2 linked regions of the Oryctolagus cuniculus genome follow. The protein of the gene in region 1 interacts with the protein of each later gene in a pairwise test. Links are inferred from orthologs where the notes say so. Each region holds a gene or a part of one and is shown on either strand. Other genes may lie near its edges. The genes, in order: ATN1 and LENG8.

Evidence for each region.
Region 2: the proteins of ATN1 (region 1) and LENG8 interact in a two-hybrid assay, tested with the Homo sapiens proteins (2 studies listed by BioGRID and IntAct). The link is inferred for Oryctolagus cuniculus from reciprocal best matches to the Homo sapiens genes ATN1 and LENG8.

What each region holds. Positions count from the first base shown.
Region 1 is NC_091440.1:102,603,390-102,606,972, forward strand, and holds the end of ATN1 (atrophin-1), read right to left. Parts: coding exon 3,471-3,583; intron 3,167-3,470; coding exon 2,470-3,166; intron 1,868-2,469; exon of another isoform or gene 1,786-1,867; coding exon 1,642-1,785; intron 1,374-1,641; coding exon 1,193-1,373; intron 1,083-1,192; coding exon 1,049-1,082; 3' UTR 559-1,048; downstream 1-558. UniProt on the Homo sapiens protein: Transcriptional corepressor. Recruits NR2E1 to repress transcription. Promotes vascular smooth cell (VSMC) migration and orientation. Corepressor of MTG8 transcriptional repression.
Region 2 is NC_091449.1:4,261,407-4,265,206, forward strand, and holds the end of LENG8 (leukocyte receptor cluster member 8), read left to right. Parts: intron 1-6; coding exon 7-136; intron 137-699; coding exon 700-1,190; 3' UTR 1,191-2,347; coding exon of another isoform or gene 2,348-2,510; 3' UTR 2,511-3,515; downstream 3,516-3,800. Other genes in the region: LENG9 (leukocyte receptor cluster member 9), read right to left, coding at 3,552-3,800.

The sequences.
Region 1 (3,583 bases):
CTGAAATCATTCATCTTTAGAGTTTACGAACGGTTGATTACGACCCTATGCAAATGAGCTCCATGTTGATTGGCCGAGAAAGCGGCCAGTCGCAGCCTCTTCCTTAAGAACGAAGGCACTGATTGGCAGCAACAAAAGCCCGGCGCAGGAGCCGCTCTCGCACTGCCCCAAAATGGCTTTCCTCGGCGGTGGCTGATGCAGATTAAAAAGTCTCCCGCTCCGCCCGCTCCTCTTGGGGTAGTCGAGTCTGCCAGTCACCGACTGCCCTGGCCGACCGAGCCACGCCCACCGCACCCCAGCTCGGACGTCCACAGCCGGGATGGCGGGCACCGGGGGCCCAAGGCCCGCGGCCCAGACCGACCGCGTCTGATGGGCCTGCCAGAGGCCCGCCCGTCGCCTTCTCTGCCTCGGTGGCTGGGGCAGGAATGCCCCCGCCGGGCCCCCCGCCCCGGTCCTTTAGGTCGCTCCCTTCCCGCCTCCCAGCCGGTCTCTGCCGCCTCTTCCCGGAGGCGGAGACCCACCCCAGCAGCGGCCCACAAAAAACCAGTCACAGCCGACTTCCTGGGGAGTTGTGAGGATGTTTTTGTTTGGTTGGTTTTGGTTGGGATGTTTTTTAAAGAGCATCATATAGATATTTATATATATAAATTATTAATGTGGGGGGCACGGGGCGTACATCGCAGAGGGGCGCGCACACAGGGACTGGGGAGGGGTGGGGGCGGCACACGATGCTACGCAAAACAGCCACATCTAACAGATGAGATCATCACACCAAAGGGTCGGGAAGGGGCACGGGGGAGGAGGAAAGCCGGGGGACGAGGAAGAGGGGCCTGGCCCAGACACCGTGCGCTTTGTCCCCACCCTGGCCACCTCCCCACCTGGGCACACCATGTGGGCCTTGGTCTTTGTCCCTCCCTCCCTCCCTCCCTCTGCCCAGCTGCAGAGGCCCTGCAAGTAAGCAGCACCCTCTCCTGGGCTCCGGTGACAGGCCAGGAAGGGGACCTCCAGGGTGAGATATGGGAGCCACGGGTGCTCTCGATGGCAGCTTCTACAGCGGCTTGTCGCTCTCCTTCTTCAGGTGACTGGAGAAAGGGCGGCACACAGCAGAGAAGTGAGACACAGAGCAACCTTGACACGAGGCCGGGGAGGAGAGGTTCCCAGCCCACCCCAGGCTGGCTGTGCCCCCGTGTACCTGTAGTAGTCCTCCTGGGCTGGCAGGGGCACGCTGTGCAGTGGGTGGTGGGCGTGCAGCCACTGCTGCTGTTCCAGCGCCAAGCGCTGCAGCTCGGCAGACTGCGCGTGCATGGCCTGCAGCTGGTGAGCTGCAGACATCGGGGCAGAGAGGGAGGCTGGCAGGTCCCGGTAAGGGGCAGCTGGAAGCAGGAAGGGCAGCGGCATGTGACTGGTGGATACCAAGTTCCAGCCCAGGTACTTGCACGAGACACAGACTAGAAGGTTAGCTAGTACAGCCAGTCTTGCCTGTTGCCAATGGTGGAGTGGAATTGGGATTCAAGCCTCTTAGCCTAGCATTGGCACGTGTACCCCCCTCGGGCAGGGCCTCAGCTCTCCTCCCATTCCCAGTTCCCCCAGCCCACTGCCCGCCCCTTTCTGCTCTGCTCCCACCAAAGCCTCCATCCTTACCAAAGAGCTGGTGACGAAGAACCTCGTTCTCGTGCAGAGGGTGAGGAAGAAGGGGGTTAGGGAGGGTCCCGGCTGGGTAGGGGATCCGGGTAAGGTGAGACCCTGATGCCAGGGGGTCAATGAGAGGGTGCACCGCGGCAGAGGCTGGAGGGCAGAGAAGAGGAAGGCGTCACTGGGAGGCGGGCAGGCTGAGGGAGAACCATGCATTGGGTGAAGGGATCCAAGCCTGGGAAGAGATGCGCAAGGAAACACAAGGAGACCCCTGGTGGGACAGAGGCCATCACGTGGAAGAGCAGGAGCCCAGGGGGACGGGCATGTGGATGATGGGACAGATTGCAGCTGGCAGAGGGGTCTGAAAAAATGGAAGTCAGCGGTAGACTGCATTGAGGAGACGCTAGACCGTGCAGGGAGAGCACACAGGGGAGTCTGGGAGAAAGGGAGCTGGAGGACTGGGACAGTGAGTGGACCCGGCCAGGGCTGCCTGGGACACCCAGACCCAAAGCTGCAGATCTAGAGATGGGGGAGGAAGGTGGGAGGGGGTGTCAGGGACCAAGCTGAATCCAGAACAAGGAAATGGATGTGCGAGGGGCCTGGGCAAAGGAGCGGGACCCAAAGGCAGTGCGCCTTCAAATGGCTCCAGCCTGGGCCTCTTAGCAGGGGCAGGAGGCCAGACCACCGAGAGCTGGGGGGTGGGGAACACAGGCTCTGTGGCTGGCTGGGGGCCTGGAACAGGGATGTGCACGTGTCGGGGGAGCAAAGGTCAGGGCGGCGATCTCAGAAGCACAAGAACTTCAGAGTACCCAGGGGTAGGCAAGGAAGAAGTCTCACCTGCGTGAATGGCATCCTGCTGGTGCAGGTGCAGGTGCGAGTGGATGTGGGAGTGCTGGTGGTGATGGGGGGTCACATTGAGCATCTGCAGCCGGGCCAGCGGGTCATTGCCCAGGGCCGCCACCCTCTCTGCATGCTGCCTCTCTGCTGCCAGCCGTTCTGCGTAGGACATGTCAGGCCGCAGGGCTGGCCCGGCTGCCAGCGCGAGGCGCTCTCGCTCCAGGGGCCCCAGGCTCGGGTGAAAGGGGAAAGGGTGCAGGCCAGGTGGGCCGGGCTGCAGGGCCAGACCCCCGTGTCGAGGGAAGGGATCCAGGCCTGGCCCAGGGACCCCATGGAGGGGTTCCAGCTCGCTGGGCTTCACCTCGAAGCCGGGCTTGAGGCGGTCGCGGAGGTCTCGTTCCCGGGCTTCCCGCTCCCTCTCCCGGGCAGCTGGGTCACTGCTGTACAGGGCCGGGACGTTGTAACCCAGGAGCCCTGGGTCCACTGCCCCGAGGGGCACATAGAATGGATGGTTACGATTGCCAGGAGACATGACGTGAGGCCGAGCGTATTCACTGAGTGTGCGCAGGGCTGGAGTATCTGGCCCCAGGTACGGGGGCACTGTGGCCACAGCACTGCCTGGCTCAAATGGAGGTCGATGCGGCACTGGGCCCAGAGATGGGCACTCCACTGGAGCGCGGCCCTCCTGGGCCAATTTCTGTGGGGCACAGGGAGAAATGGAGTCAAAGGGAAATTACGCAAAAGGGTGCTTGTCCTAAGCTGTCCATCCGTCTCACCAGGTTTTTGCCAAAGTGCCTCGCCCCACCGGAACTATCCACCAGGAATCTTTCCGCCTCCCTCCAACCCAGGAATTCCAGAATCCTTTCGCGATTCACTTCCTGGACTGTAGTGGCTCCTCCTCTCCGACAGGTGGCGGTAACTCCCCCAGCCTCCCAGACCCGCTGCGCAGTGACCAGGAGGGAGGGATAGGGGGCGGGCGGCGCACCTCGTGACGCACTCACCACGCTGCGCTCGAGCTCGCGCTCCTTCTCGCGCTCGCGCTCTTTCTCACGCTCACGCTCCCGCTCTCGCTCCTTTTCTTCGCGCGCGCGCTGCTCGGCCTCGCGCCGCACCT
Region 2 (3,800 bases), on another chromosome or scaffold:
CTCCAGGGTGACCACGAAGAGTTTAACCAGTGCCAGACACAGCTCAAGTCGCTGTACGCAGAGAACCTGCCGGGCAACGTGGGTGAGTTCACGGCCTACCGGATCCTCTACTACATCTTCACCAAGAACTCAGGAGGTGAGAGGCGCGGCCCTGGACAGGGTGTGTGGGAGACTGGTGTGTGTGGTTGTGTGTGTGTATGACGGGTGTGGTGTGTGTGTGTGTGCGGTGTCTGTGGTGTGTGGGGTATGTGTGCACATGTGTGTGTTGGGTGTGCATGCACATGCTTGTGTGCGGTGTGTGCTTGTGTGTCTGTGTGTCTGTGTGCATGTGCCCGCAGGGCCCAGGGCGAGCCCGGCCCAGTGTGTGTGTGTGGGTGCCCGCAGGGCCCAGGGCGAGCCCGGCCCAGTGTGTGTGTGTGGGTGCCCGCAGGGCCCAGGGCGAGCCCGGCCCAGTGTGTGTGTGTGTGGGTGCCCGCAGGGCCCAGGGCGAGCCCGGCCCAGTGTGTGTGTGTGGGTGCACGCAGGGCCCAGGGCGAGCCTGGCCCAGTGTTTGTGGGTGCACGCAGGGCCCAGGGCGAGCCCGGCTAGCTGCGCTTCCTTTGTCTTGGGCCCAGTGTGTCTGTGTGTGTGGGGGGGGTGTCTGTGCGTGCAGGGCCCAGGCGAGCCCTGCTGAGCTGCGCCCCCTCTGTCCTGGCGCAGACATCACCACGGAGCTGGCGTACCTCACGCGGGAGCTGAAGGCAGACCCTTGCGTGGCTCACGCCCTGGCGCTGCGGGCAGCCTGGGCCCTGGGCAATTATCACCGCTTCTTCCGGCTCCACGGCCGCGCGCCCTGTATGTCTGGCTACCTGGTGGACAAGTTTGCAGACCGGGAGCGCAAAGCTGCCCTCAAGGCAATGATCAAAACGTATGTGGCACTGCGCCCTCCTGCCCTCTGCCCTCGTGGCCCCGCGGCCTCTGGTCCCCCGAACCTGTCGTTGACGACTCCTGGCCCGCTGGCCTCCCCGCTGCTCTGTCAGCTCTCCCTCCTCACCGCTTCCTTCCACGTGGGCCTCTGGACGCCCGCCTCCTGCGTCCTGGGCCCCCTCCCCCACTTGTCTGCCCCTCCCTTCCTCCTGTTCCGGGCAGCCTGCACCTGCTGTGTTGTCTTCCCTGTGAGATCTGCCCGGTCTCATGCAGCCTATGGCTAACCCCCACTCTAGAGAGAAACCAGACCAGGCGACCCCTGCTCCCGGCTGCTTCTGGTCCCATGGGGCCAGGCCCTGTTCCCTCTCCCTGTGAGAGTGCCAGAAAAGTGTAGGGACATGGATGGGATGCGGGCCAGCCACACCGCGGGCAGTGGGGATGGCCAGTGATGGGCCGGGCCCCGCCCACTGAGCCCGACCTGTGTTCACTGGGCTTTGGTGTCTGGGGTGGGGCCTCGGGGGCCGGGTGGAAAGGCGTGACTCCTGTTGAGAGCCAGGGTTGTCAGCCCCGGGGACGCCGGGCAATGTCAGGACACACTTCTGTTGTCTCAGCTGGGGAGGTGACACCGTGTCCATGCAGAGTCCGCTGGCCTGCCTGTGGTTTGCTGAGGTTAGCAGCCCTGGCCAGAGGCTGGTGGCTGCTCCGGGGGCCCCTGAATGCCAGCTGGCTGGCCTGGCCTTTCCAGGAAGGGATTAGGGAGCCACAGCATGGCCTAGAGCCGCCGTGCAGGATCTCGCCTGGGAGACACAGAGCCAGGGTTGGGGCCACCAGTACACGGCCTTCCGCGTGCCTCCTTTGTGTGCGGCTGCCTTGGCCGGCCACACAGCCACGAGTGTCCCCTGTGGTGGAGTCCTGGTCCGTCCTGGACCGTGCTCTCCCAGCGCCCTTCCACTTGGGGCGTGCCTGTGACCACTCCTGCTGGGGCCCAGAGGCTGGCGTGGGCAGGGTGGGAGTGGGCCCTCCTGTCCCAGGGCCACGGCGAAGCCTGGGCTTTGCCGGCGGGTGCACGGCCACCCCCGAGTCCTGGGCCGGGTGGCCATGTGCCATCGTAGGCCAGGAACCCGAGTTAGCGGCAGCTCAGGGAACTGCTGCTGCCCAGCCCCTGGCGAGTGAGCATCCAGACCCGCCGTCCCCTGCCCGCCCCCTTTCCTCCTGGCCCCCTGCGCAGGTAAGTGAGGGCGAGGGGGGGCACAGCTGGGGACTGGGGCCGCCAGCCCCACCCCGGGCCCCCCCGAGCCCCGAGGTGGGGAGGTGGGGTGGCTGGGCAGCAGAGCACAGTGTGCTGAGTCCCGGGGGGCCCGAATGGGGGGCGCCCATCCCTGCCGGTGGGGCCCTCCCCCGCTCCTGCCCGCCTCATCACGTTCTCCTCTTGTCTCCGTAGCTTCCGCCCTGCGCTGCCTGTCTCCTACCTGCAGGCCGAGCTGGCCTTCGAGGGCGAGGCCGCCTGCCAGGCCTTCCTAGAGCCCCTGGGCCTGGCCTACACGGGCCCCGACAACTCCAGCATCGACTGCCGCCTCAGCCTGGCGCAGCTGTCCGCCTTCTGAGCACACACCGGCGCGGGGCGGGGGCGGGCACGGCCCCCCAGCGCCACCCCGCAGATTTTGCTTTTGAGCCATGGACTTGGGTTGTAAATTAAGTCGTGGGGCGCAGGCTCCAGGATGAGCGGCTGCCCCGCCCCGCCTCGGGGCGTCTGTACAGAGATTTTTTCTACGTTTTTATTTTTTGCCTCCAGGGGTGGGGTTGCGGGAGGAGGGCGGGCGGCGGGCGGGTGTGGTCTGCAGGCCGCTGCCCGCCTTCGGCCTCCACTAATGCTGTCTCAGTGTTTTCTCTCTCTCTTTCTCGAGCTGCACTCCGGCACGCGGCCGTCGCCCGGCCCGTCCCACGCCGGGGGGCCAGCGGGAAGAAGACAGGCCGTCCAGCCCGGCCCGCTCGGCGGGGGCGCCCGCAAACCAGCCCACCGCCCGCCTCGTCACAGACTCTTGTTGCCAGCCCTCCGGGGCCTCAGCGTTTGGGGTGAGGGGAGCTGCGTAGAGACTGTGCCCCACCCTCGCCCCCACCCCAGAAACGCCGCTGCCGCCACCGCCGCCGCCACCGTCACCGTCGCCGCGCACGGAGGACCCCGGAGGCCATCGCGGGAGCTCGCCGGCCGGGCCGCCTCGTCTCAAGTTGTATTAAGTTGTCTCCGTGTCCCCCTCCCCCGCCCCAATGTCTCTTCTGATTTCTCCCTCCCCTCCCTCCCCCCCTCCCTCGGTTCAGCACAGGTAAAGCGGCTCCCCCCCCTCCATGGATCACCGCTCACGTCATGTTTCCTTCTCTTTCTTTATGTGTGTGTTGATTTCAGTTGTTTTTTCTTCTCCCTCCCCTTTCTTTTGGCCCTCCCTCCCTCTTCCGCCATGTAACGGAGGCGCGAGCTTGCAAACCGGGCTGCCTCCTCCGGACGGCCGCCGCCGCCTCCGCCTCCCCCCCCACCCCCCCTCCATTCTTCCCTTGGAGCGCTGCACACCGTTTGGAAGCTTGAGAGAAACCAAATTAAAGAGAAAGAGAGAGAGCGCGCTTTGCCCCTTCCAGTGTGAGGGCCCCCCAGGTCAGCCGAGGGGGATCTCAGCCAGGGGCTGGTAGGCGCCCCCCGCCCTGCCCATGCGGCACAGGCAGAGTGTCCGCAGGGGCCGGCTCCACAGCTCCCGGCTCAGGCTGCAGCCGGGCCCCACGAGCGGGAGGCGGGCGCTGCACCCCCTGGGCACCTTGGCTAGGGTGAGGTGGGGGCGCAGGCCCCCCGGAGGCTGCAGTACCCGAAGCCCGTCGGCCTCCAGCCTCCGGCTCAGAGCTTGCGCCAT